Linked DNA regions of Kluyveromyces lactis. The protein of the gene in region 3 interacts with the protein of the main gene of each other region in a biochemical or structural test. Links are inferred from orthologs where the notes say so. Each region holds a gene or a part of one and is shown on either strand. Other genes may lie near its edges. The genes, in order: NUP159, KAP95 and NSP1.

Region 1 (10,806 bases), on a different chromosome or scaffold from region 3:
CTGCTAATAATTCTTGGTGTCATACACTTTTAATTCTAATGGATAAGTATCTTATATATGTTGAAATATTAAGTTGTTAGGCTATTGAAGAAAGTTGTGGTAACTATTACCAGAAACAAAAACTAAAAGAGAATTTCGGGTTTCCATCTTTTTTTGTAAGCAATGATCTTTGAAGCAAAATAGTTGGGATCTGGGGAATAAGTCTGTAGTGCCGATCTGATTGCCTAGTTGGGATAGAAATATGCGAAATAAAAGAGTATTATTATTCCCAAGATGTCCTCTTTCTCTCCCGTGAATGGCAGCAGTTAGAAGGACTTGCTCTTGTCATTTTGGGAGATTTGACTAAAAGAAGATACAGAGTCCGAATGGTCACGTGATTGCAGCTCCAATTGAGATTGGACAACTTTTAGGTTCCTGTATAAATATATATATATATATTGTTGACCAGCGAATTGTCGACCTAACTGGCTAGAGCCTATAGTATAAGTAAGATGTGCGCTAGTAGCTTTTTTAAGTAGAGATGATATTCTTAGATTTTTTTAGCAGGGAGAGCGACAGAATATCGTTAAACCTTTATTTATTTAGGTCGAAACACTAATGGTTATGTCTTGCAGCATATGCTATGAATTTCATACTACACAGCATAAATATATTTTCACAAGAATAAACCATTATCTCTAGTTGGTATTTTTGTGGCAATTGTTGTTGTCTACCGTTTCAAGTTTTTTTGGAATACAACAGACGTTGCCCCAGCTAAACTCCATGAGAGCTCCAAGGAAGTACTTCAAAACAAAGATTATCTTGGACATTATTCTAAGACTGAAAGAATACTTTAAGACTGATTAACCCCTGTTGTATTTTTGAACTCCGATAGTGAGGTGTGAAATATCCTTTCGAACTTCGAATGAATTAATTCAGCATTTCTTTCGAAAACTTTGATTGATTCCAACAGGTCAAAAGTAATTCCTCATCCACAACACTATCTTCCGTAACCTCAGTATTGTCAAGAAAACTTGAGCTGGTCCACAATGTAATGTATCTTTGCTTTATATTTCTCTACATGGTACATATTCCTGAGACTCAAACGACAAGTTCTGAACTGAAAAATACACTACGTATTTTTCAATCATGCAAGAATACCGTTCAGAGGATTAGAGGGCAACAGGGAGATGTTTAGGTTTTCATCATGACTTCGGAAAACAAACACAGATGCAGTCGTCAACTGTCAAAAAGCGAATGTGAACTGTCACTGGTGTGATGCTATTCGCCATTATATTTCAAAAGACAATACTACCACATCATTTTCAGTTTCAAGGTATATCTAACTATTTTCTACTACTAGGAAACTGCATTTTCATATTGTTAACTCAAAGTGGAATTTCGTTTTATAAAGCCTAATTATTGTTCTCGAAGTTTAGTTTTCATGATAACTTTTCGTTTTTCCGGTATATGAGACAAAGGACCGATTTCTCGGATATTCACGTGACTGTTTAACAAGAAAATCTACACACCAAGTGGAGAATCTTGCCTCCGCCATGTGAAAACCAAACTAGAAAGAGGAGAGATGCACACATACACAATTCTGTTGGAAGAAAAAAAAAATTGTTGCGTACATAGCGATATATTCACGTGACTCTAAATGCGAACGTCATCACCCCGGTCCCACTGCGTGTCTCTTCGAGTCAGCACTAATAAAAGTCGGAAATCAAAATGCAAGAAAGGATTCCAGATATATCCGGCGCAAATGAGTCGCCTCCAATTGTCAATCATTACGTGGTCTCTTTTTTAATTAATTTTCTTTCGGTTTTTGTGTAGAGCTCTCAAGAGTGCCGGAGTGATAGATTAAGACAAACTGAAATAGGGAAGACTACAAAGCACATGGGGTGTAGACCCAAACTATCAATAATTGCAACATGATAGTCCAATTAACGTGTTCTATACACTTCCATCAATAACCTGTATATAGCCATTTTTATTTAGCCTCAAATGATTGATATCTGTATGCAGTATGTACAATCTACAAGATATATGCTCGAGAGCAAGTGCGTAAAGAATCTCAAAGTGAGTTAGTCCGACATCCGCTCTTAAAACGACACCTCAGGCAAAAAACTGAGCTACTCTCCAGTTGCGTATAGCAGTCCCCGCTACCCCACTATAGACGTGCGTTCCCACTGTATTAAATCTCTCGTCCCCTATAATTTTCACTTGGGAAGCCTTGTGCTTTCCAATGTTTACATTTTCTGGCTACACGGTATTTTTGTTGAAAACTGTGAAAAATCGAGAAAAGTTCACATTGTCATTATTTGTATTTATAAAATCGATATTATATATAAATGAAAGAGATCGAGATATTTTTTTTTGGGAAATTTGCGAAAAATCTTGGATGCACACCGAATTAAAATGGTGTCTGTCTCTTGCTTTTGTGTTATGTAGTAGTTCCTTCTTGGTTTTAGCGGTTGACTGAACTCTAATTGATTCACATTTAGATCAATCGCACTTCCGAAAGCTTGCTTCCGCCCTCTAACAAAAAATAACTTCAAAGATTTACAATGGCTCCTCCATTCTTTTCTGATATTTCCAAGGACATCAATGGGTTGTTGAACAAGGAATTCTTCCACGCTACCCCAGCTTCTGTTGACGTTAAGACCACTGCTCCAAACGGTGTTGCTTTCACTGTTAAGGGTAAAACTTCTCCAAAAGATGGCTCAATTGCTGCTAACGTTGAAGTTAAGGCCTCTGACAAGTCTACTGGTTTGACTTTCACCCAAGGTTGGAACAACGCCAACACTTTGGACACCAAGATCGAATTGGCTGAATTGACTCCAGGCTTGAAGACTGAATTGATCACTTCTGGTGTTCCAGGTGTCTCTAAGGCTGCTAAGTTGAACGTTAACTTTGTTCAACCTTTGTTTGCTGCTAGAGGTTTCTTCGATTTGTTGAAGGGTCCATCCTTCGTCGGTGACTTGACCTTGGCTCACGAAGGTTTCGTTGGTGGTGCTGAAGTTGGTTATGACATCTCTGCTGGTGCCGTCTCCCGTTACGCTTTGGCTTTGGGTTACAACGCTTCTGGTGCTTATTCCGTTGGTTTGTCCGTCAACAACGCTCAATTGATCACCGCTTCCTTCTTCCAAAAGGTTTCCCCAATCTTGCAAGTCGGTGCTAAGGCTGCTTTGAACCCTCAAGCTGGCTCTAATGTCAACATTGAATTCGCTTCCAAGTACGCTTTGGACGCCGTTTCTCAAGTTAAGGCTAAGGTTGCTGACTCCGGTATCGTCGCCTTGTCCTACCAACAAATATTGAGACCAGGTGTCACTCTAGGTATTGGTGCTTCTTTCGACGCTTTGAAGTTGGCTGAACCAGTCCACAAGTTGGGTTGGTCTCTATCGTTCGCTGCTTAAATGCATACTTAGTAATTTTACACAAGTGTTAAAAAGAAGTGTTACTTTTTTCTAAGTTTATGTTATTTTGCTTTGTCCAATGGATCACCAGCCTAGGTTATCAATTTTGAAATGATTCACATTCAACTAAAGTATCATTCTTCTTGGCGTTCCATTTGATACCGATATATATATATATTGCCTTTCATTTTGTTCGCTTTTTTTTCAGAACAACAATATCCGCTTTGTTTTCATTACAGATATGGCCTCAATTACAATGTTAACGCCTACTTCTTTCGAAGATACTTACCTAACTAAATACGTATTCTTTAATGACCATCTAAAAAATTTTATATCTCAAAACATTCATGTCATAGTAAAGACAATAAAACATGAACACTAACCTCATACTGATTTCCGGATCACGTGATTGATAATTTCCTTCTTTTTGGAACTTTGTTTACTTCAAAGCTATCATCAAAAAGCTTCAAACCTGTACAAGCACTGAACATTGCAACTGATGCCCATTGAAATTCAAGGTTTACAAATTAATAAGCAGCTGAGGTTTATATTAATACACTAACGGATTGAAACTACTACTGTCGGCACAGATAAAAGAACACATACAGAATCAATGACGTCCTCTGTGGTTGATGCGTTGAATGTTGAAACTACTGAGAGCTTGGGATTCAAGTTTTTATTCTCTAAACAAATTGTTCCAGGCTTCAATGAGGATTTGCCATTCTCAAAACTGGCTAATGCTTCCATACATCCGTTGAAAAAATTACTAGCTGTTGCTTCTTCCAAGACTGTGTCTGTATATGATCTGCAATCTGTCCGTGATGAGTCCTTCATCACTCTAAATACGAAAGAGTTCACGGCGAAAGTAGTGGGCGTTTTTTTTGTGGCAGAGAGTTTGGCTACGGTCCTAGAAGATGGTTCAGTATGGGTTACCGAATTGGACCAATTCGCCTGGGAACAATACTGGGACGGTAATGGTGTCAATGAAGTCATTTGTTCTGTAATTTTCCAAGGGAATGTACTTCTTGCGAGTAACGCTAATGTCGTGTTTAAAATATCCTTATCGCAAAAGCATTCTTCCGAACAGTTACATTCAATCACAGGTTGCATCGCAATTGACACTTTGAAACATCAACTTTATGTTTTACACAAAAATGGTTCTATAGCTGTACTGGATGAACAGTTTAACGTCACATCCTCTATTGAAAAGCCATCTCTCGATGAACCTAACGAACCGTTGTCCATAAACGCTTTGTCAGAAAGCAGTTTACTCGTATCGTACGGCGAACCGGTCGATGCCTCGGAAGAAGATATCATGTACGATTTAACCGTATATTTTGTCAATGTCAATACTAAATCTTTTACTCCTTCCATGGATATCGCGCCTCCCTATTCAACAGTCAAAAGAAATCCTTCATACTACTCTCAAACATTGTATCAACTCGCTCAGCAGCTACCACATCTATTCGTTATAGGATCATCGTGTGCATCAGAGCTATCGATTGCCACACCGAACGTGATGTATAAACCGGACCAAGATGCTGCTTGTGCAATTCTTCCAATCAACCCTGAAACAGATAATGATACACAACCCATTGGGATGGCCCTAGATGTATTTTCCAGTGGTACTGTGTATGAGCCTTGTTCCGGAGTAGAGGCTGCTGACAATCTACCGATATTATATGTCCTCACCAATCTTGGGGAACTATTTTGTTGGGCTTTATTCCATCACTCTGCTTTACAAAACTCGAGTTTCACGCTAGAACCAACCAAAACTCAGTATGTACAGTCTTTCGAAATCTTATCTCATAAAATAGAAAGTGGTTCTTCTTCAATGGAAAAGGAAAAAGTTACTTTAATTTCTCCCCAAGACACTAAGAACACAATAACTGAAGTAAGAAAGGTTCCTGAACAATCGTCATTTTTTGAAACTACAAATTCCTTCGCTAAAGGTTTTTCGTTCACTCCGAAGAACATGACGGATAGTACAAATGCTGAGTCTGAGGGCTCTCAAAATCCTTTGCTGTCATCTGGTTCATCTCCTGCATTTGGAAAACCTGCCTTTGGCCAAGCAACATTTGGCCAAGTAACATCTAGCCAAGCAACACCTGGCCAATCAGCATTCGGTCAACCAGCATTCGGTCTACCAACTTTCGGCAAACCTGTATCTAGTCAACCAACGTCTGGACAATCAGCATTCGGTCAACCAGCATTCGGGGAGCCAGCGTTTGGGAAACCGGCATCTAGTCAACCAACATCTGGACAATCAGCAGTCGGTCAACCAGCATTCGGTCAACCAGCATTCGGGGAGCCAGCGTTTGGGAAACCGGCATCTAGTCAACCAACATCTGGACAATCAGCATTCGGCCAAGCAGCATTCGGTCCACCAACTTTCGGTAAACCTGCATCTAGTCAACCAACGTCTGGACAACCAGCATTCGGACAACCAGCATTCGGCCAACCTGTATCTGACCAATCGGCGCCCAGTAAACCAGCGTTTGGCAAACCAACATTTGGAAGTACATCATTTGGTACCCAATCTCAAACTAATACCACTTCACCCTTGTCCGAAGAGGCAGAGACGTCATCTGTCTTTGGAACGCCAAGTTTTGGCTCCACATCTTTCGGAATACAAGGAGCTAATGTTACCTCTCCATTCGGAACCAACACAAAAATTTCATCAGAGTCGTCTTTTGGAAAATCGCTCTTTGGAACTTCTCAGTTTGGCAGCGACAGCGCTGTTACCAACCCTGCACCGAATTCATTCGCTACATCTGCGAAATTGTCTTCACCATTTTCTGCCTTTGCTACAGACCAAAAGACCATAAATCCATTCGAAACTCAGACTTCTGATCCATTCGGCCACTTGAATTCTAAAAAAGAAGACACTAAGTCGTTCAACTTTACTGGTTTCGGTGAATCTATATCAGAAGCTAACCACAGTTTGCCATCCGTCACTCAAGATTCTTTGAATTCGAAAGAAGTCAGCGATTCGACGATCGAAAACGATCAATCTGAAGTGCCTAGTCCAGCTAATGATTCGAGCATTTCAGAAGATCAAGACGATATCGAATCTAACATTGTATCCTCTACCGATGAAAGTGATTCCTTATACGGAGAGGACAGGGAAATATATGATAATGATAGATCTGATATACACATCGAAGCCTCTTCAAAACCTTCTTCAACTGTTTTGAACTCAAACAGTGACATAGAAGAGGATGAAGCTGAGCAAAGCAACGAAGAACAAGCAAAAGTGGAGACCAAAGATGGGCAAGAAGAAGAAGAAGAAGAAGAAGAAGAAGAAGAAGAAGAAGAAGAAGAAGAAGAAGAAGAAGAAGAAGAAGAAGAAGAAGGAGAAGAAGAAGAAGAAAAGGAGGAGGGAGAGGAAGAGGAGAAGGAGCAGCAAGCGCAAGATGAAGAACAAGTGAAAGATGATACTAAAGATGTATCAAAGGAGAAAAAGCAAGAAGAAGACAAAGGAAATGATAAGCAGGTCAAAGGTGATCTGCTCACTGAAGGATCTTTCCCATCGGCGGAGAGCACAACCCCTGTTGCTGCGTCTTACGTTACTGAGGAAGATGACACCAGATCGTCTGTTGCTTCTTTTACCGATAGGATAAAGAAAGCGGCTAACCTCTCAACGGAGAATATTGCCAATCCATTCATGAAATCCACAGCAGTTGAAAACAAAGATTCCTCACCTTTTTCGGGCTTCACAAATTCCTTATCCAAAGATACAGGAAAGGCTCCCGCATTTTCCTTTGCCAATCTCAAGAAGGATGGTTCTGAAATTACCTCACCACTGTCTAATGTCAATTCTATTAGCAACGAAAGTGTTATGAGAGAGCCAGAACCAGAATTAAAACAGAAAACTGGTGATGAGCCGGACCCCGAAGTGGCAACTCCCTCTACTAACCTCGCAAGTTCAGAACAGAAAAAGGAAGCACTTTCAAAGGATCAAGAAATTGTACCATCTTCAACTGTCAGTCCAGAATCTGGTAGCGTCTCTTCTTCACCAGTTGTGGTAGATTATCCTCCAGTCAAAATGAGTAAATCATCCGGTACTACTACAAAAGAATATGTTTCACAGCATGTGCAAGCGAGTGTACCTGTAGGAAGCGCTTCCACTCAAAGTCTTACTAAAGAAAGTGCAGACTTTACTTTACAAGCCTTTGAAAATGATGAGCAATATATAGCTGAAAGGTATCTTCCTGAAATGCCTAGTGCTTTCTATTCCACTGCTGAACTTAAAGAATTCAGTACAATATCTTCCGATGAAGTTGTACAGGCCGTTGAAAAAACAAATGCTCAAGTTTTAGCAAACATTCAAGTGTTACGCTCAAATATCGACAACATTGGGAAGTTTATAGGTGACCATTCCCAAAATTTATTCAAACGTACTGAGAAAACTGTCCCAATTGTCTCCTCCTGGAGACTTGGTGAGGCGGCCACTCTTTTGGATATCCTTACTTCCAAGGCTAAACAAAGCTACGAATTGAAACAGTCTTACCAAAGGTTAGCAGATAGTTCTTCTGCGGTAACTAATTTCGACATGCTAATCACGACACTAAAACGCCAATATGACATTCTTGAACTCTCCAACAGGACATCTAATCATTCCAACAGGAAACTTTCTTGGAGTCAGCATCATATCTCAACTATGGTAAAGAGGAAACTTGAAGAAGTCTCCTCGAAACTGGATGAAATTAGAGAATCCATTCAAGTACTAAAGCTTTACAATCTTACAAATACCAAGGAAGCACTGCATGCTGTGCAGCAATTGTCATTAAACGGAGGCATTGGCAGAGAAAACTTGTTAACAGAGATTCAGTCGTTAAGAGAAGAAATTTCTGTGTTAAAATTGTCGGCAGAAAAACCAAACCAACTAGAACCTGAGAATCTATTAATTAACACAGCTTCTACATCGTTGCCCCTTCTCGAAACTACTTTGGAGTTATATACAAGGGCTCAATTAGGAGATTTTTTCTCATCTAAACTGTCTACGTAATGTGTAGAACGAAATGGTCCAGTTGAATACGCTAAATAATTGCTTGCATCCACCTTTTCAAACCTTAATTAAGCCATTATTAAAGCAAGATGTTTCCTGAACTCTTTAATTAGAACATCATTTTCTTGCTTAGTACCAATGGTGATTCTTAAACCACCTGCGCAGCCAGGCTCATTACCTCTATATCTTGTTATAACAGCTGATTCAACGGCAAGCCTTTCATATAGCTTCTTAGTCAAAGCGTTGTCTCCATTGTTGATGTTTAATAAGATGAAATTAGCGTCTAGGCCACCCAATTGGGAAACATATGGAGAAGAAGTCAACTCCTTCAACACTCTCAATTTTTCCTTTTTAACTGTGGCAGCATTCTCTTCCATCAATTTCAAGTTTTTTGGTTGTACTGCTTTCAAAGCAACTTCTGCAGTCGAGCAAGAAATATTATAAGGAGCCTTCATCGAATTCAAGACTCTTGACATAGCTTTAGATGTATACGTAACTCCTAGTCTGATTCCAGCTAGGCCAAATGACTTAGAAAGAGTTTGTAAAACAGCAATATTTTCGTACTTTGTTGCTAGCGGTGCCAAGGACCCCTTATCAGAACCCTCAACAAAATCGATGTATGCTTCATCTACAACAACAAGACCCGTTTGCCATTGTGATAGAATCTTTTCAATACGATTAACATCGATAAAGGTACCAGTTGGATTACCTGGTGAAGTAATGAACACCAACTTGATTGAGGGATCGTTTTGCAAAGTTTCTAAGATCTTTTCCTCATCGATTTGGAATTTGTCTTCTTCAGATAACAATAATGGTACCGTAACGTATTCAACATCGTTAACCTGAGAACAGATGGTATACATTCCATACGTAGCAGGTGCAATTAAGATTTTTTCCTTTGCTGGCACACAGCACGCTCTAATAAGGGCATCGATGCTTTCATCAGATCCAACTCCAAGACATAGGTTGTCAGCATCCAAAGGCTTCAAGTTCTGGTCTTTGAAAATAGAGGTTTTGTTACGGTAATCAGAAAGGAGTTTCTTAAACTCCAATTGATGCGGATCTGGGTAACGATGCAACAGAGAGTCAACATTGTATTCCTGAATGGTAGGTCCGTATGGGTTCTCATTGGCATCTAACAAGATACCTTCTTGGAAATCATCACGAGCGCAGCGATATGGCTCCAAGTTCAGAATCTTTGGCCTCACAACTTTAGCTATATCAAAAGTCATCTCGTGTAACAAAACCTGAACACTCTTAGCGCTGTACCTGAGTATGTAGTGGCTGCAGGAGGTACATTTCTCCCATCAATTGACAACTTTAATCTGTGAGTTGTACGTCTAAAACGTTCTCGTATTTTTTCACTTTTTATGAATGTTCATTTTCCCTGTAGAGTCTGGATGAGCTGTAAATCTGACTTTGAGAAGATGGGATGAGATGACTCATGAAGAAATAAACAACAATATTTGACTATGCAGCATGAGAGCTGCGATGGATTGAAGTACCAAAACAGTCAGAATCTATATTTGTAGAAGTATACTATTGAAAATCAAACAAACAAGTGTTATATAGGAATAGCTGAGCATGCAATTTCCGTATCATACGGCCAGCTTTTCATGGGTTTCGTTAGGATGATTCTTGAAATTGACGAAATCAGGCAATCTGTCCAGGGGTACGTTAATCGAAGTGTTGAACATTGTGATATATTCTAGGTCAATATCACCCTTTTGCCCTCCAGTGAATAAGTCATATTCTTGATATATGCCTGTCATGGACCACCCGAGTAATAATTTCCTAATTATCCCGACTACAACACCAACACGATGTTTGCCCTTGTTTGAATGCACAAGAATCGGATAGTTATTTACGTCTAACACCAGTTTAAGTACAGTTTCCATTTCCTTTTGTATTTCTGGGTCTTTCGTAGACTTCATCGGTATATGGTGGAATTTGATGGATTCTTCTTCCAAAAACGCTTTGTATTCGGGCAAAATATCTTTGTCACCGACGTATATCACTGTTTTTAAATGCAATTGATGCTTTATGAACGAATAGTTCAAGGGCATCGGATACCCCGACCTGTATAGGTCAACATCCGTACCCACGACCGGTGCAAAACTTAGTGGAGGAATGTACTTCATAGGGACAAATAGGTGAACAAACAGTTGGAAACCCTTTCAGTTGAAAAATGATTGGATACAGGAATACAGAGATATCGGATGTTATCCTCTACTACACAGTAATGACATTCTGTTAGACTGTCTCTAATTGAATCGGTTTTCCTTTCTTACTTGGTGTTTGATATTATTTATAGATTTACTTCATTATCAGAAAAGTAAGAGATTCTTCACAAAAGTGGAAATGTAATTGGAAACAAAGAACAAACTGACAAACTGA
Region 2 (10,806 bases), on a different chromosome or scaffold from region 3:
GAATTCGGAAAATGAATATAGTACTCCAGGGGTTTGAGCTTTAGAGAACACGTCCTGTGGGCTCACCAACAAGTCGTACAGATTTCAACATTCAAACTGGAAAATAACACTCAAGGGCACACTTTTTCCTATTAACCCATTTCCTTTAAAAAGTGTTCTATTTTTTTACTAACATTTCTCTTATAACGATTGTATGATGATATTCCGTCGTACAAGTACGTTTCACGTTTTTCTTCACAGACGTTTCCTCTGACAGAAGAAAGGCCAGAAAGGCTTACTTCACTGCCCCATCCTCTGAACGTCGTGTGTTGTTGTCCGCTCCTTTGTCCAAAGAATTGAGAGAACAATACAACATCAAGGCTTTGCCAATCAGAAAGGAAGACGAAGTCTTGGTTGTTCGTGGTTCCAAGAAGGGTCAAGAAGGTAAGGTTTCCTCTGTCTACAGATTGAAGTTCGCTGTCCAAGTTGACAAGTTGACCAAGGAAAAGTCTAACGGTGCTTCCGTCCCAACCAACATCCACCCATCCAAGGTCGTCATCACCAAGTTGCACTTGGACAAGGACAGAAAGGCCTTGATCCAAAGAAAGGGTGGTAAATTGGAATAAACTGGTTGTTAAGATTTTCATATATCAAATATTATCTTCTATAATCATGTTCACTAGTCTTATATAAGTGTAATCCTCACATTTTTGAAATTAAATACACAAAACGGGTATTTTCCGTATATATCGACCAATTGGACAATCATTCATTGATTAAACCCACTCGCTCTTCTTCTTCTTCTTCTTCTTCTTCTTCTTCTTCTTCTTCTTCTTCTTCCTCCGCTTTTTCCCATTCTTTCACTAAGTCTACCCTTTGATAAGTCCATAGAAACATGATTTTTAGGAAATCGAAAATTTCAGCGGAGTCAGTCAGTATAGCTATTAGTTTTGAGTAAACATATCAGGTAAAGAACCTGGAGAAACCGGACACCAGACGTAGTGAATAAAGCTGGTAGCTGGTGATTACATTGATCTATAAGGGCAACTGCTGGTATATTGCAAAGTCATTTTTGTACCAAGTTTGAAACTGTTTCTCAAAGTAAAGATTGCATTAATAAACAATGTCAGCGATTGTATCTGATGACGATGAATTGATAAATGGATTAGGGTCCGAGGTAGTAATCACAAAGCCGGTTCCTGGAAACCACATGGCAAGGACCAGGAAAAGATGGTCTAGTGGCTCTACAGAAAAAAGGCCTAAGGTTATTAATAAACTCATCGATGGGGTTCATACTGATGTTGCTAAGGATTATATTTCCCCGGGCCAATTATATTCGACAGAATCAGGACGTTTGTTCCATGCCGGTAAGATACTTATTGTGTTAGTAGGCCTCCCAGCTACCTCCAAAACGTTGTTGTCGGTTGCTATTACTAGATATACTAGATGGTTAGGGGTTCGTACAAGGTCTTTCCATGTCTCGGAGTATAGAAGAGAGAAGATTAGAGCTGAAAAGGGGGAGGTACCCGATGATTACTTCTCCGCAAAACCGACCTCCAAGGAAGGAATTCAGTACAGGAAAGAGATATTAAGTAAGATGATTCAAGATATGACTGAATTTTTCGACGAGAAGAAGGGCCAGTTGGCTGTTTATGATGCTCTGAATATTTTGAAAGATGATAGGTCATCTATAGAACAAGCTTTTGGTAAGTTACACATCAAAGTTCTATTTATCGAATCAGTGGTGACAGACCCAGTCTTACAAAAGAGGAACGTCGATTTGGCTATAAAATCCGAAGACTATAAAGGGTGGGTCCTTAAGAGGGCTGAAGAAGATTATATGGAAAGACTCCAAGCCAATAAATATTTGTATCAAGAAATGAGCCCAGAAGAAAAGTTGAGCTACGTTAAGTATATCAACTTCGGTGAGAAGTTGACCGTGAACAATAATAACTATGGCTATTTGATTAACAAGATTGTCTTCTTCTTAATGAACCTTCGTGATAAGAGAGGCTGTGTCTATTTCGCTCGTTGTGGAACAAGTGTTAAAGATAAGTACATCGACGATGAAGAGTTAAACGGAGAAGGCTTGGAATATTCCAGAATATTGACAGACCTTGTATTGGACTTGGTCAACAGAAGAAGACTTAACGCTAATGATGACGGAGCAGACGTTCCAAGGACACCGTCTCTGGTCTCCCTAAATGAAAGATCAAAATCACCGTTGATTGCTACGAGTGCATCATTGAAACGGACTGAATCAACTGGTAACGCTATGTATAGGCAACCTGCTAGTGGGGATGGTGTTGATGACGACTCCTTCGTGGTGTGGACGGCACCAAGGAAGAGAACGTACGATACGGCAAAATACTTTGCTGATCTGGGCATTACTGTAAGGCAGAGAAATCAATTGCAACAACTACATCCAGGTGTTGTTGCTGACATGACTGATGAAGAAATCAGAGAAAAGTTCCCAAGCGAATATGAAGAATACTTAAGGGATCCATACCATTTCAGATTTTCAAGAGCTGAATCATATCATGATCTTGCTGTGAGAATGGAGCCACTTCTACTTGAGATGGAAAGAATGTGCGGTGATATTCTTATCATTGGTCATGAATCTACTTTAAGGGTGTTATACGGTTATTTGATGGCTTTTTCCTGTTCTGAGATACCAAGACTAACGTTCACCCGTGATGAATTGATTGAAATCTCATTCGGACCATTCGAAAATAAAGTGAACAGGATTCCAATTGTGATGGATTAATTAAGGTTTATATTATGTTCATATAAATAGGTATATCAATTATATTAAAATAATGCAAGATCATAGCGGAATACTTGTGACTCCTAGTAAAGCAAATAAACTGGTGTTAATTGTTAACATTCTATCTGTGGTTTCCTTCCAATTTGTCAATCGCTTTTCGCTTTGATGCTTAGTTGTCTTCTCTGTAAATAGGCGTTGTACTCATCTTTCAAACTAAAAGGAGCCTGGAAGCATGAATCCTTGATCAAAAACCATTGTACAATCCTCCAAGATAAGAACCAGTCTACTAGCCCAATGTATCTGACTATGGTAGAGGCTAAGAAGTGGCATGTTCCTAATAAAGCGCCAATTGAAACACCCACTAAAACTTGTTTCAGAGTGTGATAGCCTAAATAGACGCGTGATACTACTACACCGCTAGAGGCAAGTAACAAACCAAAACTTGCTAGAATTTTATGTGATTTATTCAAGCCACCCCATTGGCACCAGATACGGAGGCCTATATACATGGTGAAGAATCCCATAAACTGGGAATGAGCACTTGGCATACCATAACCTGATCTCACAGAATCCTTTTGAAAAGAACCAAAATCAATTGGCCTCGTTTCCTTGATGATGTTTTTGATGATGTTATTGGCAATGTCATTCACTACATGCCCTCCCGCTAATATAACAGCTTCGATCTCACGAGTAATAATGAACCAGGAGAAGTAAAACACTAATATGCCAACAGGCAGAAGTGAAAGATAACAACAGATGAACGAAAATAGATCATTCGGGTCATATAAAATATAAGTATCATCAAACGGGATCTTTGAATGAATAGCGGTCAAATTCGACATGATTGCCGCTAGTTATGACCGTAATCGTCGATGTTTCCTAACTCCTTCTCTTGCGTCTTTGATCCGTCGTTTAGCGTTGTTATGTAGAATTTAAAGCTTTTTTGTTTCATTCGAGATGTAAACCTCCCAGCAAGTAAACAATTGACAAAAAGGCTGAGAAGGATTGAAAAAATATGGGTACATGAACTGTTGTAAAAAGAACTTATTGATAAATTGTTTAAGGTCTATAATTTAATGCAAATGAATCACTGCATGAAGAGTAGTCTATATAAGGTAGTGATGTAGTATTTTGCTATAAGATGTGAAGTGAAGAAGTTAACGGAAGGTGGGCATAAAGGATCGTTAGAGTGATGTAAAAATGATTAGAAATGGGATGCTAAGAGTGGATGAGTGTGACAGCAAAGAGTAGTGACCATTGTGACATTAGAACGGAAACTCCAGGTTGCTTTAAATCGAGAAAGAAGTTGTATCATAAAAGAGGTAGGTAGAGAAGAGAATAAAACAGAATAATGAGTTATTAAATAAAATACAAGGGTAGAATAATAAGTAGTGCAATAGTGAGAATAAAAGAGAGTAGTAAGTAGTAGAAGAGTAGGGAATAAGAGTAGTAGGAGTAATGAGAATGATAGTAGTGGATCAAAGGAAATTTGAACTGGTCGACTTCTTTATATTAAAAAGGATGAGGGAACTGGCGTCCATAGATCCAATGAACAGTGGTTGGAGTGAATAAACTGTCAAAGGCAGTGAATTATGCAAGTGAGTTGTCTGTGGAAGTCAGTGTATTGTTATTAATAGTAGGCAGGCAAACAAGAGCGAATGAAAAGAATCACAAGTTAGATTGCAACTTTTGTTGTTCTCTTGCCCACCTTGCTGTATCTCTAGTGTTTTGAGAAAAGGATTGATTGGTTTTCACGTCCTTTACAAACTTAATCATCCATGGTTGTGTATAGAATTGTTGGAGCCTTCCGTCTGGGTACATGGCAGCAATATCACCCACTATACCGACTGCTGTTCTTGCAATTGAATCTTCTAATGCAACACTTGGATTATCAGCCAATAAGTTGATAAATTGGAAAATTGAACCTGTGTAAGGAAACAATGCATCTGGTTGGTCGTGTAGCCCTGTTATTATTCCTACGTATGCGTCCAATATTGATTCGTATAATTTATATTGATAATCGAGGGCATCAGAAGAGCTATAATTCGGTTTATAGTTTTGAGCCATGACGCACACGGACATAACTTGGGACAAATACTGTATAAAATCTGATCCAATGTTGGTGGCAATATCACCAAAAACAGAAAGGACTGCAGGTTGTAATTCCTTCTTCGCATCTGGAGAAGAAAGCATTTGCCCAAGAACACTCATGAACGATGGAGCGAATTTCTTGAAGTCATCCTCTAAAGAGTTAGAGATATCAGCAATTAGATTGACGGCAGTGATAGAAACTTGGGACTGTACTTGATTTAACGCATTAACCAAATATGGGGAGAAACTTTCCAAATACTTTTCAAAGTTTTTACCCAACGCAGATGCTAGAGCAGAAATAGCGTAAAAGACATCATCTTCCACGTATGTTGTATCATTCTTGCTCAAAAGTTTCATAAATAGATCCATCAACATATCTGCTACTGGATTAACAGATTGTGGGTTCTTTCTAATCACTGCAGCCAAAACAGATAAAATGTTCGATTGTAATTCATGTAAGTTTTGTCTATCTTCAGCTGTTAATTGAGCTTCATCCACTTGCATTGTTTGTCCAAGTTTATCCAAAACAAAAGTGGAAATTGAGGTAGTAGTTTCCCCGACTTGGTCATTAGCGAACTCTACTAAAGTAGTCAAAGCAGAAAATACAGATGCTCTAGCATTATATTCATTGTCTGACCTGTTTGAAGCTTCAAGCAATGCGCTAACAAGAACTGGATAATAATTGTATATCGGAGAAGAAGGGGTATCAGCTAATTGTTCGACAAGGTTGATAATCGTCCAAGAACAATTGGTAGCCACTTTTGGATGGTCTTTTAACCCGATCAAACAAGCGTTTACAACATCAGAAAGATGGTCTTGAGGATCTATAGCAGCAACGACTGAGTCTGCAATTCTGCCGATGCACCATGCTACTGTTTCCTTCACTTGCAAAACTGGATCCGTTATTAGGTTGAGGATAGGTGGTAACGCTTGATGGACTAAACTAGTCAATTGAGTTTTGTCAGGACCGTCCAATATAGAACCAAAAGCCATCACAGCCGCTTCGCGTTGTCTCCAATTGTCACTGGTGATGTTCTGTTCAACGAAGTGCAAGACAGGTTCTACTACGTAGTTACCACAGTTTTGAGCGAATAGTTGCAAACAAGCACCAGCAGACATTGCCACGTTCCAATCATCATCATCCGGATCTTCATTTTGCTTTGTTAAAAGCTGTAATAGAGTTGGCACCACTTCTTGGATGGATACTAGAGCAAAATTGTAAGATTCCAAGCCTGGGTTGGAGTACTGTGACAGTTCAAAAGCAATATCAATTTCTTCTTCACAGATGGTAGACCAAAATTCAACGGCCATTGCTGCCACCTTTTCATTGGATGATTGTATAGTAGCCACGGTCAAAGCGAATAGAGCTTGTTCCATGTAAGGTTTCATGTAGAAATAGTATAGTGACATGATTTTACAAAGACAACCAAATGCGGCCGCTTGAATATCTTCATCCGAAGCCTGGGTAGCTTCACATACGACTTGCATCAAGTAATTTCTTTCACCCTCACGTTCCATATTATTCTTAATGAATGCAAGCGAGTCAGCCAATGCATTAAGCGCGGTAAGTCTGACAATCTTAGAAGTTTCGTTCGACTGTGCACCTTGAACGATAGCGATCAAAATGTTGTTCGATTGATTGATTAAAGTTTCATCACTTTGGTCTGCACTTTCACAGATATAACCCAATGTCAACAAGGAAGCTCTCTTAACATTTTCTGGTTGTTCTTGAGCGGTATTATCTACCATAATCTTCATCAACTCTGGCCATTGATTCAATGGCAATTCGATCTCTGCAATGGCAGCGATCAACTGAGCTGAAGCGTTGGCAACACGAGTCTCTGGATCAACCAACGCTTGTAACGCAAACTGCTTAATATGATGTCTAGACTCTGCATCGACTTGCGTAGACCAACGTTGAGCAAACTGCTGGGCCTTTGTTGGGTTCTTCGAAATCAATTCGTTCTTCAACGTCAAACCTGCTAGAATTCTAGCTTCAAGACGAACGGACACATCGGCCAAGATCTGAGACAAAAGTCCAGCGAATTGCAAGAAATTATCGTTAGATAATTTCTTCAACGTCGTCTCCGCTTGAAGACGGACCGTTGGGTCCGGAGTAATGATAATGTTTTCCAAAAACTGGGCAACCTCGGAAGCTGACATAACGATTTGTAAAGGGTATTATAACTTACTAGTGTTTCCAAATCCTAGCGGGTCGTTTCAATAGTCAGTCTCCAAAATTATAGAAATAAAACAAGGAACTGCAACAGCAAACGGCAAATAATAAATTTTCACACTTGGTTCACTTTATAAAAGTATCAGTATATCGAATAGCGACGTTAGATCTTCCTTTATTCTGTAATTATTCGGCGCCTACTAACGAGTTTCTGAGTATGAACTCTCGATCAAGTGTCTCACGAACCGTTCTCCCTTGCACAAGACACCTAAACGCAAGGATACAAAGTGAAATGTTTCCCTGTTTCTTGGATCCTAAGTTCTTTTGTTTACGAAATGTTTTCTAGTTGTTTTTGTTTGATAAATAGATGTGAAGGAAAGAAATTCTTTGAAGCTTGGGAATAAGCAAAAAATAAGAAAAAGCTGTGTAGCATCTTGTAAAGCGCGTTTGTGCTACGATTTGGAGTGGAATCAGATGGAAAGTAAAAGAGTCTGTTACCCGGATATATTGCCTAGAAAACAATGTATGAACCCCATAAATGAAGAGAAAAATAGGGATCGTGCTCCTGTTTAACGGAGGGTAACTTATATACTGCTAGGGAAGAAAGAATTTTTTGCCACTCAACTGCAAATAGCCGGGTAAATAGTTGGCGTTAGCTTGTTCACGTGACTTGTAATTCGTGTTTCAAACCGAGTAATAAGGGTATTATCATTAGCTATATGGATCAAGGATAATATATATGTAGATATAGATAGTTAGTTAGATGATGCAATAACTTGCGAGACCATCCAGCTCTATGGGGCGTATTTCTTGATCAATTGGTCAACCAATTCGATGTACTGTTGTTCGGCATCTTCTTGGGAAGTGCCCTTCAACAATTCCCAGGCGTCCCACTTGTAACGGTCCTTCAAGTTGAACATGCCTGGTTTTTCCTTGGTGTTGTCACCGACGGTTGCTTGCTTGTATAGAGCATACAATTTCAACAATTCATCGTTATTTGGAGTTGATGGCAATTCATTGACAGCTTTAGCCTGCAGATAAATGTAAGATGCGGTTAGTATGATTATTAAGGGAAATCAAAAGCCATTGCAACAACGATTCCACATACCTTTTCTTCGAATAATTGAGAAACCATTGTGTTTTGAGTGAGTGTCGATATCTGACGTATTGAACTAACACTTGTCTTTCACAAATCCTTCGTTTAGTACCATGTGTAAAGCTTCTCTTGATTTTGTGCATTAGGTATTTATATGTTTTTTCTCACTGAAAACAACTTCCTCCAGTTTTTGCTTACATGGCACGAAACTTTTCATAATGAACGGCATTAGTATTCAGGTAAGATCTAACAGCTGATGCGTTTTTTGCTCCAACAGCAAACAGAAAGGACCTAGAAGCGTCTATTTAACTCGACTAGCTTTCTTATCAAACTGTCTTCATTTATTGTCAAACCCAAATGATTTATTTTGGGCAGATTGAAACTTCATTGGTCAAAACAGCTATAGAGCATTGAGTGAAACCTCTACTCGTACCTTCGATGAGCCAGTTGGGTTTCAATATCTAGTCACGTGTGTTTACTTAAACTCTCTTCGCTTTTTTGTCTATGTCCACTACCCTGATTTCGGATTTGGCTGGTGCTTTCCTTTTTTTCTCTGAAACCAGAATTACATATTTTAAAATCAATACAAATTTAAATCACCACTGAGGCCGTTGATAACAACCTTGATCCAAACTGATCTCTGTTCCTTTATCATCAAAATATTCGGATACGTTCGTAGAATAACTTAATTTCGATAAAAAGGAGTGTGTGACACTAGTTGAAACTCTCTTTTTTTTTTTACGCATTTGTTATTGACTGAGCTTTTCATTATTTCATCTTTTGAGTACTGGTTAAGAAGGTACCACGCAGCTGAAGGCAAAATATAAACGATGTCACAGTTGAAACCTTTCCCATCTTATGGACAAGATAACAGTAATGGCGGTGCGTCTGGTATTGAACCTGTCAAGGATCACAGAAGAAGGCGTTCTTCCAGTATAATATCGCATGTGGAACCGGAATCCTTTGAAGATGAAAATGACCAACAGATGATGAACAATATGAACGCTAATTGGGTGAATCAGCGAGGCGCATGGATTATCCACCTTGTTGTGATTGCACTGCTTAGACTCTTCTTCAATTTATTACCTGGAATGTCTAACGAATGGTCATGGACCTTGACTAACATCGCTTACGTGGTTGGTTCCTATATCATGTTCCATTTGATTAAAGGTACACCTTTCGATTTCAACGGAGGAGTTTATGATAATCTAACAATGTGGGAACAGATCGATGATGGGGTGTTGTATACGCCTACTAGGAAGTTTTTGATTACGGTACCTATCGGTTTGTTTCTTTTGTCAACACATTATTGCCGTTACGATTTACAACTATTTTTATTGAACTTCGTTTTAACTACCTTCGTAGCTGTGGTTCCTAAACTACCTGTAACTCACAGGCTAAGAATAAGCATTCCTGGTATCACAGGACCTGCTCAAATCAGCTAAGAAAGGGAGTCAAATGAATGAATCAAACATTAAAAATAGAAAGGAAAAAAAACAAAAACAGAGAGGCAGGAGATTCTCTACCTGCCTCTCCGGTTCACATCAGAAGCGATAAAATATCTCATGTTTTTTTCTGTTGTCTAATTGACCAGAACTGGGAGAAACTCGCTTCGTTCATATCGTCATTATCATCATCATCATTATTATTATTATTTTCATCATCATTATCATCATTATCCTGTTCCTATTTAGACAGGAACAAAAAAACTAGAAACTCCGTGTACTAATTGGAATAGGAACTTATAAAGAACATTAGAATGCCAATCTTAGTATAATCAGCAACAGGAAAAAAAGAAACAAGATTAACCGTTTAGTGACTAAGTATGACATTAAATGAGCACCTGCCCGTTATTGAACCCTTCCATCCTGAACCGTGAAGATCAATACAACGGAAATTCAGGAATCAAATAGAAATCTTATACCGTTACTCTTTTTTCGCTTCATTTTTTTTCAAACTGGGACATACTGCACTTAACTTTCCCTTAATATTCACCACAATGTATTTATCTTTTATACATACATATAGTGTTCTTCAAACTTATTTCTCATTTAAACATTGAAAATGTTCACAAGTAGTCGTCATATTATTTTGCTATGACAGTTTTTAAATCAGTACTATATTTCATACATTATATTTACAGGATGTAATACTTTTACTAGAATTTAATTCATGAAAGAATAAATTCTCTGAAATTCATGTGCTTTTAGCAAGGACTTCACTGACCTTCTTGATTTGCTCCAAATATTGTTCCTTCTTTGCCTCTCTAGCCTTCTTATTCACTAGTCTTCTTTTAAGGAATCTAGGAATGAAAGGTTTTGCAGTTTCCTGGTATGGTCCCAATACACCATCGAATGCCTTTGAAGGTTTGTTAGCGTCGGATCCTAGTCTCATCCTATCGTTTCTGTATTTTTCCAATTCCTTTTGGAACTCAGTATTCCATGCACTCTTGTCCTCAGGTTCTGCAGGCCAGATAAATGGTTCTGCCATATCGATAGTCATCTTCTTGATTTGAGGACCACGGTACCTGGGCGACACCGGCGTAGCACGAGTGTATCTGGCATGCAATAACTGTGTAGTAACGTTCAACGCTCTTAAACCATAAAGGTGGAATAAATAATCTCTTAAATCTAATTTGTTAAACGATTTAGGAACGATGAATTTCGCTTGATATGGAGTGTGTTTAGCATTTGGTCT
Region 3 (10,746 bases):
TCGCTGCGGAATGCAAACCAGCAAAGGTTAGCCCAGAACGAAGGGTTAAATGATCTACACGTTGAAACGAAGTTTGAGCCGAGCGTCAGTAGAGTTGCGGAAGGAGTCCCTTTGGAAAGAGTTCAAACTGAATCACAGGCTTCACAACAGGATTTGGATCCTAGATTGGAAGAGTTCATCAAATATTACAAAGAACATGGTTGCAATGGTTTCTCATCTCAGCAGAATGGTGCTGCAAAGAAAGTAACCAAAGAACCCAACGCAATATTCTCTTTAGATTCTACTCTAGTCGGTAGTAGTAAAAATGGAAACAGTAATGGAAAAGTCCATTTAGATAAGAAGGGCAGACCAATACCGCCACATCCTCCTAGGTCTCGTTTACCACCTGCATTGAAGGTAAGATACGAGCCAGTTCCATCATCCTCTCGACCTGATTCGAGCCATACACCATTATCGGGTGCCAGCAAATTCGGTTCTTTCTTGAAAAGGGTCACTTCTCATACCGATGACTCCTTCGTATCAAGTAGAAGAATGTCTTCAGCGTCATCATCAATATCGTTACCCAGGGATGCAGATGAGTCATCTGTCGATTCTTCTGAAGGAACTATAAATACTTCGGTGGTTCCGGGATTGGAAAATCTCAAACCTTTGAAGCGCGTTGCGTTTGCTGCAAACACGTATTTCAATGATCCTCCTCAACAGATCTGTTCCAGGAACCCTAGGAAAGGTGAAGTTGAAGTAAAAGCAGATGGATCTGTTGTTATCCATAGGTTAACTCCCGAAGAGAAACGTGAAATACTGGAGAAGTCAAGTTGTGGTATTGTGGTAGGAGGAACTGGGCAATTGAAGTTAATCAACCAAGATGCACCAGCGACGTCTCCGGATCAAAATGAAGGCGCTGCATTAAAACTCCATGCTGAGGATGACCATGCGTCTCAACGTCGTCACATCGAACTTGCAGCAGCAGAAGCTGCGGCAGAGGCCAGAGCTAAAGATGCTCCACTAGATTTACAGAGAACTGTGACAAATAATGAAGAAGAGGTTGGTGTCAACAATACATTAGAGAAAGTTACCATTGACAAGCCAATGACATCAAGGAGAAAAGGTTCTAGCACATCATTGGCATCCATGATATCATCGGATTCTGCCTTGGTACCTTCTGAAGATGAAAACGAACTTCTACCACCCAGAAATATAAAGATCCCTCACGATGTTGTGTATACTCGTTGTTGTCATCTAAGGGAAATTCTTCCGATCCCTGCTACTATGAAGCAGTTGAAAAAGGGATCAACGGAACCGATACCGTTCCTACAATTAAGAAACCCCAAACCTTCTAAAGTAGAAGTGCTTTCTTTCAGTGATTTTTTGAGTATCGCTCCGGTGTTATGTCTATCTTTAGACGGTGTGTCATTGAGCGTGGAAATGTTGAGAATTATTTTGAGTTCCATCACATATAAGGATAAATTCGAAAAATTATCACTCAGAAACACTCCTGTAGATCATGACGGGTGGAAGGTCCTTTCATATTTCGTATCCAAATGCAAAAGCCTAAACTCGCTCGACGTTACCATGATTCCAGGATTAGCGCTTAATGTTCAAAAGCCATCTAAATCATCAAATGGCTCAACTGTTCCTAGAATGGTTTGCAATATGGAGAACAGATCTGATATGAACTGGAGTTTGCTTAGTGCGGCCGTGGCAGCTAAAGGTGGCTTAGAAGAAATGATCGTTTCAGGTGCCTTCATGAATCAAGTTCAACTACAAAACTTCATTGATATTGCTTGGACAAAGACATTAAGACTTGGCCTGGCCTACAATAACTTAACTTTAGAGCAATGTCAATGCCTTGCAACCTGGATGACTAACTCTAAAATACAAGGTGTTGATGTTGGTTACAATGATTTGAATGGAAAATTAGGACCGTTCATATCTGCCGTAATAGAGAAGACGAAGAAAGGAAAAAATGTGTTCAAATTCCTATCTCTTAACTCTACAAATCTTTCGGTTCCTAAAGGTGCAAAATCTGAGGATAACGAGGTTTTGAGTTTGCTCAATGGTCTTTGCTATTGTGATAGTTTGAAATTTTTAGATTTATCCAATAACCCAGGATTATTCCCATACGGTATGCGTACGTTGACAGCTATTTTACCAGTGTTTGTGTCTTTGCTTCGTTTGCACTTAGATAACAACAACCTATCCACAACGGCAGTAATGCAGTTTGCCGAAGTTTTGCCGATGTGTCAACGCATAAATTATATTTCTCTATTGGGAACCAATTTGAATATAATATCTGCCAGTGCATTGGCTGCTGCTGTAAAAAATTCCAAGACTATAATCACAATGGATATTGACTACGCCCATGTCCCTGATAGAATCAAAGAAAAAATCTCTGTCTATAGTATGAGAAATACACAGAGAGAGCTCGAACAAATTAATAAATCTGGTGGCGATGATGGACATGAAAAATTGAAGTCACTACAAGAAGAGCTTGGAAGGTTACTAACAGAAGATTCTTCAACCAGGAGTGATTATGATACATTAGTGTCAAACTTCTTGGAACGTATTCAAACTGTACGTGCGAAACTTCATGCTGCAATTGAAGAACTATTCAAATTGAGACTCAATGGAGAGCTAAGTACGGAGGGTAAAGAAACTCTTATTAAATTTTGCTTTATTGACGCAAGTTTTGAAAAGGGCTTGAAATTACTAGCAAAGAAGAGTTTGCGAAGCGCAGGTTACCATTCCCATAATGCAGCCACGTCAAATGACCGTGAAAGCCCATCACCATTAACTTCACAATCTGCGACAGCTTTAACTTATCCGAAGAAACTAAACACCTTACTTTCTTCATCGAAATATGCTTCCAGTGGCCACAGCGCTTTGTTACCCTTCCATCAACCATCTGTAGAATCATATGAACCTGCAGATGACGAGGTGGCACTAACATACACGAGCGGTGAAGTGCAGAACGAAGCCAAAGAACAGTTGAAAGAAGAAGGTGATGTTTTGAGGAAAAGTAGAGGATTAATGAATGAACTACAAAGTACCGCTAACAAACGTGGCCAAGAGCTTAACACAGATATTTTGAGAAGGGTTGGCGAAAGATTTGATAGTGAACATATATCAAAGACGCCCTTTTGAAACAAGATATATCTAATATTATGTCACTCCTTGATGAATTGAACAATCAAGGAATTCCCATTGACGAAATTTTCAAGAAGAAATCAGATGACAAAAAACCAACTGCTTCTAGTTCCTCTGTCGACCAAAGTTCTAATACGGTCGTAGGAGTTGAAGCCAATCTGCAGGAGAAGAAAGGTGATGGGTATTCTGATAGCGATTATAGTAGCGAGGAAGAAGTACAGCAAGAAGAACAAATGGACCGCGCGTTTGACGAAGTTTTAGACACTCTAGCACATTCAAGAAAGACCACGCTTGCGAAATCAAATAATTCGCCAGGCTCAACATAGCAGCACCCAATGCACATAGCCCCCAAAGAGAATACAAATTACATTCCGTCTAAGAAACGTGGAGAATTGTAGACATGAAAACCACAAACTAATTCGAGGGGATACGTCTGCCCCTACTTTCACCTCTCTTTCTTTTTTTTTCAAAAGGAACTTTAACCTAATGCATTGAGATATACGAGATGATCAAAAACACAAATATGATGCCTTACTCTTGGATCAAATTACCCAGAAAGTTGGTAATGTGATTTATAGTTCCTAGGAAAACTCTATTCCATTGTTAACCGTTATTGATATTGGAGGAGAGAATCGAAAGACATAAAAGCCATCAAGCTCGGTTTACTCCGATTGAATTCTGTACATTATATAAATCTTACTATACATTCATTATAATATTAGGAAATAAACTTTAAAACAGAGCTTACTCTGGCTAGTCAAGCTTTATATGTCCATCCGTATATGCATCATATCAAGGTTACCCTCACTCAAATTTTTTGGACCTTGTTTCTTTCTAAAATCGAAAAGATCATAAAACTCGATATGATTAAACAATAAACTGAAAATTGTATACATAATGGCAAACGAATTGGTTTGAATAGGCATAGCTAGTCTATGAAGTGGACAATTACAAGGGTTCGTTAATCAACAAAATGAGTTTCAATTCAAACCCCACTTTCAACTTTTCTACAGCGGGAAATGCTTCCGGTGGGAACAGCAATTCCAATTTGTTTGCCGGTACTGGATCAGGACAAAATGTATCTACCACAGGAAACACCAGTACCAGCACAGGTGCTTCCTCTCTCTTTGGCAATACTGGAGGCCAGACCAGTGGCAATGCTTTTGCAAGTTTCGGTTCAGCTGCTGGTAGCTCTAATACGCAGCAGGGAAATGCATTTTCAGCGTTTGGAGCGACCACTACCAATGACAATGGACAAACAAAACCTGCATTCGGAGGCTTTGGTATGAATACACAACAGGGCGCTAATGCAGTCAAGCCAGCAGCTTCGCCATTTTCGTTTGGTGCCTCTAATACAACTGCTGGTACAGGCGATGCACCAAAACCTGCTTTTGGAGGTTTTAACGCAAACGATGCTGCCAGCAATGCGAACAATAACAACAGCAACACCACGAATACAAGCGCAGCAAAACCAACATTTGGTGGCTTTGGCTCCGTAGGAGCAGCAGGAAGTAGCTCTTCGCTATTTGGCGGGTCGCAACAGGCTAAAGACACTCAACCCAAGAGTGGATTCTCATTTGGTACACAACCTGAACAAAAGACCGATGCAAAGCCCGCTTTTAATTTCGGACTATCTGGAAATAATGCAATGACTACAACTCCGAGTGTCAATGCCTCTAAACCAATATTTGGTGCCAATACAACTTCAACATCAAGCTTCACAACTTCCGCTAAACCAACTGAAACCTCGAAACCTAATACAAATGCCACATCACTCTTTGGTGGGAACCACACTGATACAAAACCAGCCGGTGCTACTTCAGGGTTCAACTTTGGTTCTGCCGCTGGAGATGCCAACAAGCCAAGTTTTTCGCTAAGTCTGGGATCAAAACCTGAAGAAAAAACCTCAGGCGCAAAGACAGGATTCTCATTTGGTTCAAAAACGGAGGACAAGCCTACAGATGCTAAACCAGCATTTTCTTTCGGAGCAAAGCCCTCTGGGACAGAACAAGCCGGTAAGCCAGCCTTCAGCTTTGGATCAAAACCAGTGGCTCCTGAACCCTCTAAACCTTCCAATGACAAACCAGAAAGTAAACAGGGTTTTGCATTCAATGTTAAATCTGGCAACAGTAAAGAGGAGACCAAAAGTGGATTTTCTCTGGGATCTAAAACAGAAGAATCTAAACCTGCCTCTAAAATGGGATTTTCTCTGGGATCCTTGAACACGAATGCTGACGATACCGAATCCAAGCCTGGGTTTTCTTTTGGCAATAAGACTGAAGATACCAAGTCAGCTTCCAAAGCGGCCTTTTCGTTCGATAACAAGACTGACGGGTCAAAGTCAGAATCAAAACCATCTTTTGCTTTAGGGTCCAACACCTCAGAAAATAAAGCCGATCCTAGCCCCGCATTCTCGTTAGGAGCGAAACCTACCGATAGCAAATCATCTGATACTAAGGACGATTCGAAGCCTGCATTTAGCTTTGGAAGTAAACCTGCCGATAGCAGAACATCTGACACTAAGGTTGATTCAAAGCCTGCTTTTAGCTTTGGAAGTAAACCTGCGGAAACTACCGCTTCCAAAGACACGAAAACTGAAGCTCCTTCCTTTTCTTTGGGCGGTCTGAAACCGGATACTACCAAAGAAACAACTGAAAGTGCTAAGCAGGAAACTACAACTGGAACAAAGACATCTACTAAACCCGTTACTATCGAACCTGTTTCCCTCGACAATAAGACTTTGGATGACTTAGTATCAAAATGGACCTCCCAACTTTCTGGAACCGCAGATCACTTTGAGAGTTACGCCAAGAAGATAAATCAGTGGGACAAAGTATTAATGCAAGGTGGTGAACAAATAAGTCGGTTGTACTCTGATACATTAACTGCTGAACAATCTCAAAATAGAGTAGATCAGTCTCTCTCATATATCGAAAGACAACAATCTGAACTTGAGTATTTCCTCGATTCTTATGAACAAAAGGCTGAAGATCTGCTATCTGAGGTGCTTTCTTCGAGCAACAATAACAACACAAGCAAAACGAATGATCAAAAGAGACAACAAGCCTATCATACAGTGGAAATGCTTGACGACAACCTAAACTCTTTGTCACTAAATCTTTCCTCGTTGATTACCGAAATAAACGAAGTTAGCGAAACGTTCAATAAGGCTACAAACTCAAGCTTCCCTAATAAGGAAGAAAACGCTCAGTTGATCCAGTTATTAAATTCTCACCTAGATGCTCTTAAGTCGCTAGAGAACAACTCTCAGCAACTTGAAGGAAAACTCAAGACGTTGACGAAGTCTCAGAAATGATTTTTTTTTTTGACCTTGAGGTTAATACTATGATAATCTATATATTGAAACCTATGTACTTTGCTGGTTCAATCTAATAATCATGTAACCATATTGCCCTGATCGTTATTGCGCTCCAGAATAATTTGTCAGTGTACAAACCAAAATGATGAGTTGAACAAATTCTTCAAGTCCTTCTGGTTTGGTTTCAACTCCATTCTTTTCAAGTAATGCATCTCTCTTTAATGCGCCTTGTACCAATTGCTTGAAATGAGATATCAATTTTCTTGCCTCACGGAAAACGTATTGGCTTGATGTTCCTGAGCTGAGTAACACTGACGCAATCAACTGGAAGATGGGTATAATGATTTCAAAGAGCGAAATACCATTTTCGTATGATGTAATCTGGAGAGGGTTATCTAAAGTTAGATTCGCACGGATTTTTCCGGAGGTTGCAGCACCAACAGATTCAAACATCAATTCTAGTCCAAGATCTGGATCCATTTTCAAGAAGTTACACGACGTAATAGTTTCAAACAATTTCTTTTGAACTAAAGCATGAGAACCAGCCTTTGTTTGAGCCAATTTTGTCAGGAAGTGTACCACACATTTGAAAATTGTGAGTTCATACAATAATGTGTAAGAGGTCACCTTCTCATTTTGAGTCTCTAATACCTCATCTGTGTTTTTGATAGATCTTATAATCAATAATAACATATTACTTTTGACAAGTGATTCCAAAACAAAATTTACTTTGTTCAAACTTGCTAATTGGTTTAAAGCATCCAAAAACAATATTCCTGTTACTCTATTAGCACCTTGCCCCATAATAGCATCATTGCAAACAGTCTCTACTAATGATTCATTGGAAAACTTCAGCCATTGAAGGACCTCCTTTGAAAGGATTTCATCCTTTAGGACACAGTTCAAATACTTTGTACCAAGCACATAAAAATCAGATCTTAGAGTCGCCGATGGTGTCGATATACAGTTTATGCATGTCTTGAAAAGCGTATGCAACCTACTGTCTAGGGTTTTTTCATTATCGATGGCAACTCTATCCTCATGGTATAATTCATAAAGGAAGACAGCAAGGGAAACTAGTTCCTCAGAATATGGAAGGCGAGATTCGACATATTCGTTTACTTTAGGAATAATGAATTCAAATACTTCCAATATAAAATTGGATCTTTGAATTGGAGAAAGTTTACTGTCAACAACAATTATCTGCACCAATTGAACCCATGAATGAAGACCAGAAAGTTGAAATGTTGCTAATTCCTGATAGGCAAGGAAGGCGGTGGATGTTTTCTTAATTATTTCGATCTCTTTCTCAGAGCCGACTTCCAGCTGTTGGGCATCTATTGGATGACCTGATGTAATCGAGAGGTAAGTTTCAGACCGTTTCTTAAGCTCAATCAGGGAATCCAGGTTCGAAAAATCATAAAGAGATCCATTTATCGATGAATTCTTTTCAACTTTGTCCAGGCTGAGATCCAAGCCTTCCAAAATAGTAATGTCTTTAAAGGGATCAGTGGAAGGAGCTTGAGATTTCAAGTTTAACGTATCCAAAAAGGAAAAGATTGTCGCTGAATGTATAGCGTTAGAAACAAGAGCTTTCATGAGGTCATCACATTTTGAATTATTGGCCGCATAGGAGAAAGTATGGACACTCAAACTTAGAAATTGCATTAGAAGACTTCTATATTTCAAAAAATAAAGAAGAGATCCGATAGCTGGCGAGTTTAAAAATTTCGAGGTGTACTTGTCAAAATCTCCGTTGAAAGGCTCTCCATTCCAATGAGACAACACAGACACCTTTGGGTCCATGCTTAGAAGAACCTTATCTAAATCCAGAGTTGACAGATAATCCAAAGTTATTTTGCATGTCAAAGGATTACGGCAAAGCTTTGTAATTATTTCCATAAATTCTGCACATAACCTCATTGGAGCATATTCAACATTAAGACTGTTAATACATGATAGTGACTCGATCATAAGGTTTACGATTGTTTGAAGTAACGAAGTCTTAGAATTTATGAATGTATCTAATTCTGGCCCCAATGAAATAGTATTCGACACTTGATACCCTAAAAGAAAATGTGATATGGTGGTGTTGTGATCTGTGTAAGACAAGTTTTTGCTAATGAAATCTAGAATATTCACCTTTAATTTCAATGAGCATTCATCGGTAATAGGCGACATTAGTTGATCAATGAAGCTTTGTTTTATTCTTGCAGAATCATCAACAGAATCGAATACCGTCAATAATATACTTTTGTGGAGACCTCTAGGATTTCCCGAGTCCAATTTAGTCGCTAACTTCTTTAAAATGCTAATACTGCTCAAAGAAATGTCAAAATTAGTGCTACCAACATAAAGACCGAAGTGAGCTGTCAATGGAAGATTGAAGAAGATAGCGTCATAGAAGAAACGCAATCCTCTTATGCTGATACTTTTGGGTAGAAACACCGAGTTATCAGAGCAGCGTTTCACTATAGGATAAAATTCCTCGGCATATGTTCCTTCGTGTGTTAGCATAATATCAATGATATATAGTGAATCCCTGACCATCAACGACTTCGGCTTCAAAATACGCCCAAGTTCACTCTCCAGCTCATCTATTCCTATAGAGGCTATTTTGAAGATCTTTGAAAACACTTTTTCGTTGTACAAGTAGTTCATTGTGGCAGTAGCATTGGATTGTTGGACAAAGGAATAGAAGTCGGAAGTCTGTACAAACGAGTCCAAATTACAACCGACGGAAACGGAGTTCAAAATAACGCTGTAGTCAAATGATAAAAGCGAAGATTTGATAATATCTAAAACCAAAACGTTCTTGACTGTTTGCTGGTCTTTGGTAGCTGCCTTTTCATCATTCAAGAAAATATTACCCAAAATATACTCATAATAAGGCCATACACCTGTCTTTCTATATCCATATCCAATATTCACAGGAAAACTTAGTTTACCAAACTTCATATACTCATTACTATGATTAGTTGTTCCCACAGACACCAATCTGGAGAACAATTGCAAAAATCCTAAGACTTCGGAGTAGCCAGTGAAAATTGAGTTGAAGGCTGCAATATAGGAACTATCTGTTGAATCTAACGGGTATGATTTGAAAATGAGTCGGTCTAGTTTGGTCCAGTAACCGTACCTTTGAGTTTCTTCCTTAGGGATCAAATGACTTAATACTTTTAGCGCTGCACCTAGTAAAGGACTTCTTACTTTGAGGAAACTGAAGAGGATGTCTTCGAATGTGTTAGCTAATTGCGATTTTATTTGTTCATCAACATTATATGCAATAGATTCAACCAAGGTAAAGTACGAAGACAACAGGATAATTGTTTCTTCACTTAACCCACTTTCAATTGCCACCGCATTGATCTCACTTGTTGCTGCGCCGTTTTGCTGGAGATCTTGTAACTTCTGTTCAAGTTGTGTAATTTTTTCGGTTGTTTCGTTTATATTATGTGCAATATATTTCCAGGAACTATGCTGATTACTCTCCACATAATGATAAACATTATGAGAATTTTGAGATCCATATGACAAACTGGAAATCATCAAGTAAAAGCATGCTTTCATCAAAGTATCGTTACATTTTGCAGCCCATTCTATGAAACCATAGAGATTAGACTCTTTGTCATCCCAGAAAGAGCTTGAATATTCCGGTCTAGATGCATAAAAGAAGTATATGGTAATGAAAAATCGTTCTAGGTCCGCCTTCGCTGAGATGTCATCCAAATAGAGATCCTCACCGGATAATAAAGAATCTTCCTCAGCATTTTTTATCTTTGTCAAGAGGAATGCACAGTCTGTAATAAAAGCTTGAAAGAAGTCATGCAAAGTGGATAGAAAGCTATCGAGTCCATAGTCGAAAATTGATAAATTTGAGTATTTGGTAGAAGGGTCATCAACATAAGTTTTGGTGCTTACTGCGGTTGAGTACTCTGGATCTAACAAGAGTTTTGGTGACATTCTTGGAATATGCTTCTCTAGCAAGGACCGTATGTCAAAGAATAACTCCATGCTTTTATCTGCTTCTACCATCGAAGTTTCTGCTGCGTATACCATCAACTGTTCGATTGCCCCCAATTCGACTGCAGAAGTCATTGGAAGGTCTACAGCAACAGCGAAGTCGAATTGCTTTGCTCTTGTAGTTGGTTCAGCTTTGCACCAGCCTATAAAGAACGTTAAGAAGATGAAGATGAGAACAACCTTGGTGGGTTTAGTGTATATTGATTCGGATTCTAAATCTCTGAGGAATTGGGCGTGCAAACTTTCAACATCCCTGGAGG

Evidence for each region.
Region 1: the proteins of NSP1 (region 3) and NUP159 form a complex in vitro, tested with the Saccharomyces cerevisiae proteins (2 studies listed by BioGRID). The link is inferred for Kluyveromyces lactis from reciprocal best matches to the Saccharomyces cerevisiae genes NSP1 and NUP159.
Region 2: the proteins of NSP1 (region 3) and KAP95 form a complex in vitro, tested with the Saccharomyces cerevisiae proteins (2 studies listed by BioGRID). The link is inferred for Kluyveromyces lactis from reciprocal best matches to the Saccharomyces cerevisiae genes NSP1 and KAP95.

The regions. Positions count from the first base shown.
Region 1 is NC_006042.1:326,433-337,238, reverse strand, and holds NUP159 (FG-nucleoporin NUP159), read left to right. Parts: upstream 1-4,011; coding exon 4,012-8,409; downstream 8,410-10,806. Other genes in the region: porin POR1, read left to right, coding at 2,550-3,398; HIS5 (histidinol-phosphate transaminase), read right to left, coding at 8,478-9,641; OCA2 (Oca2p), read right to left, coding at 10,008-10,550. UniProt on the Saccharomyces cerevisiae protein: Functions as a component of the nuclear pore complex (NPC).
Region 2 is NC_006038.1:506,361-517,166, reverse strand, and holds KAP95 (karyopherin beta), read right to left. Parts: upstream 7,001-10,806; coding exon 4,415-7,000; downstream 1-4,414. Other genes in the region: KLLA0_B05742g (60S ribosomal protein uL24), read left to right, coding at 241-605; KLLA0_B05709g (bifunctional fructose-2,6-bisphosphate 2-phosphatase/6-phosphofructo-2-kinase), read left to right, coding at 1,103-2,746; CAX4 (dolichyldiphosphatase), read right to left, coding at 2,893-3,588; long-chain fatty acid transporter ACB1, read right to left, coding at 7,808-8,044, 8,122-8,148; sphingolipid homeostasis protein ORM2, read left to right, coding at 8,940-9,554; MRP20 (mitochondrial 54S ribosomal protein uL23m), read right to left, coding at 10,306-10,806. UniProt on the Saccharomyces cerevisiae protein: Importin beta subunit that functions in nuclear protein import through association with the importin alpha subunit, which binds to the classical nuclear localization signal (cNLS) in cargo substrates.
Region 3 is NC_006041.1:1,036,986-1,047,731, reverse strand, and holds NSP1 (FG-nucleoporin NSP1), read left to right. Parts: upstream 1-4,117; coding exon 4,118-6,460; downstream 6,461-10,746. Other genes in the region: MHP1 (Mhp1p), read left to right, coding at 1-3,141; NUP192 (Nup192p), read right to left, coding at 6,566-10,746.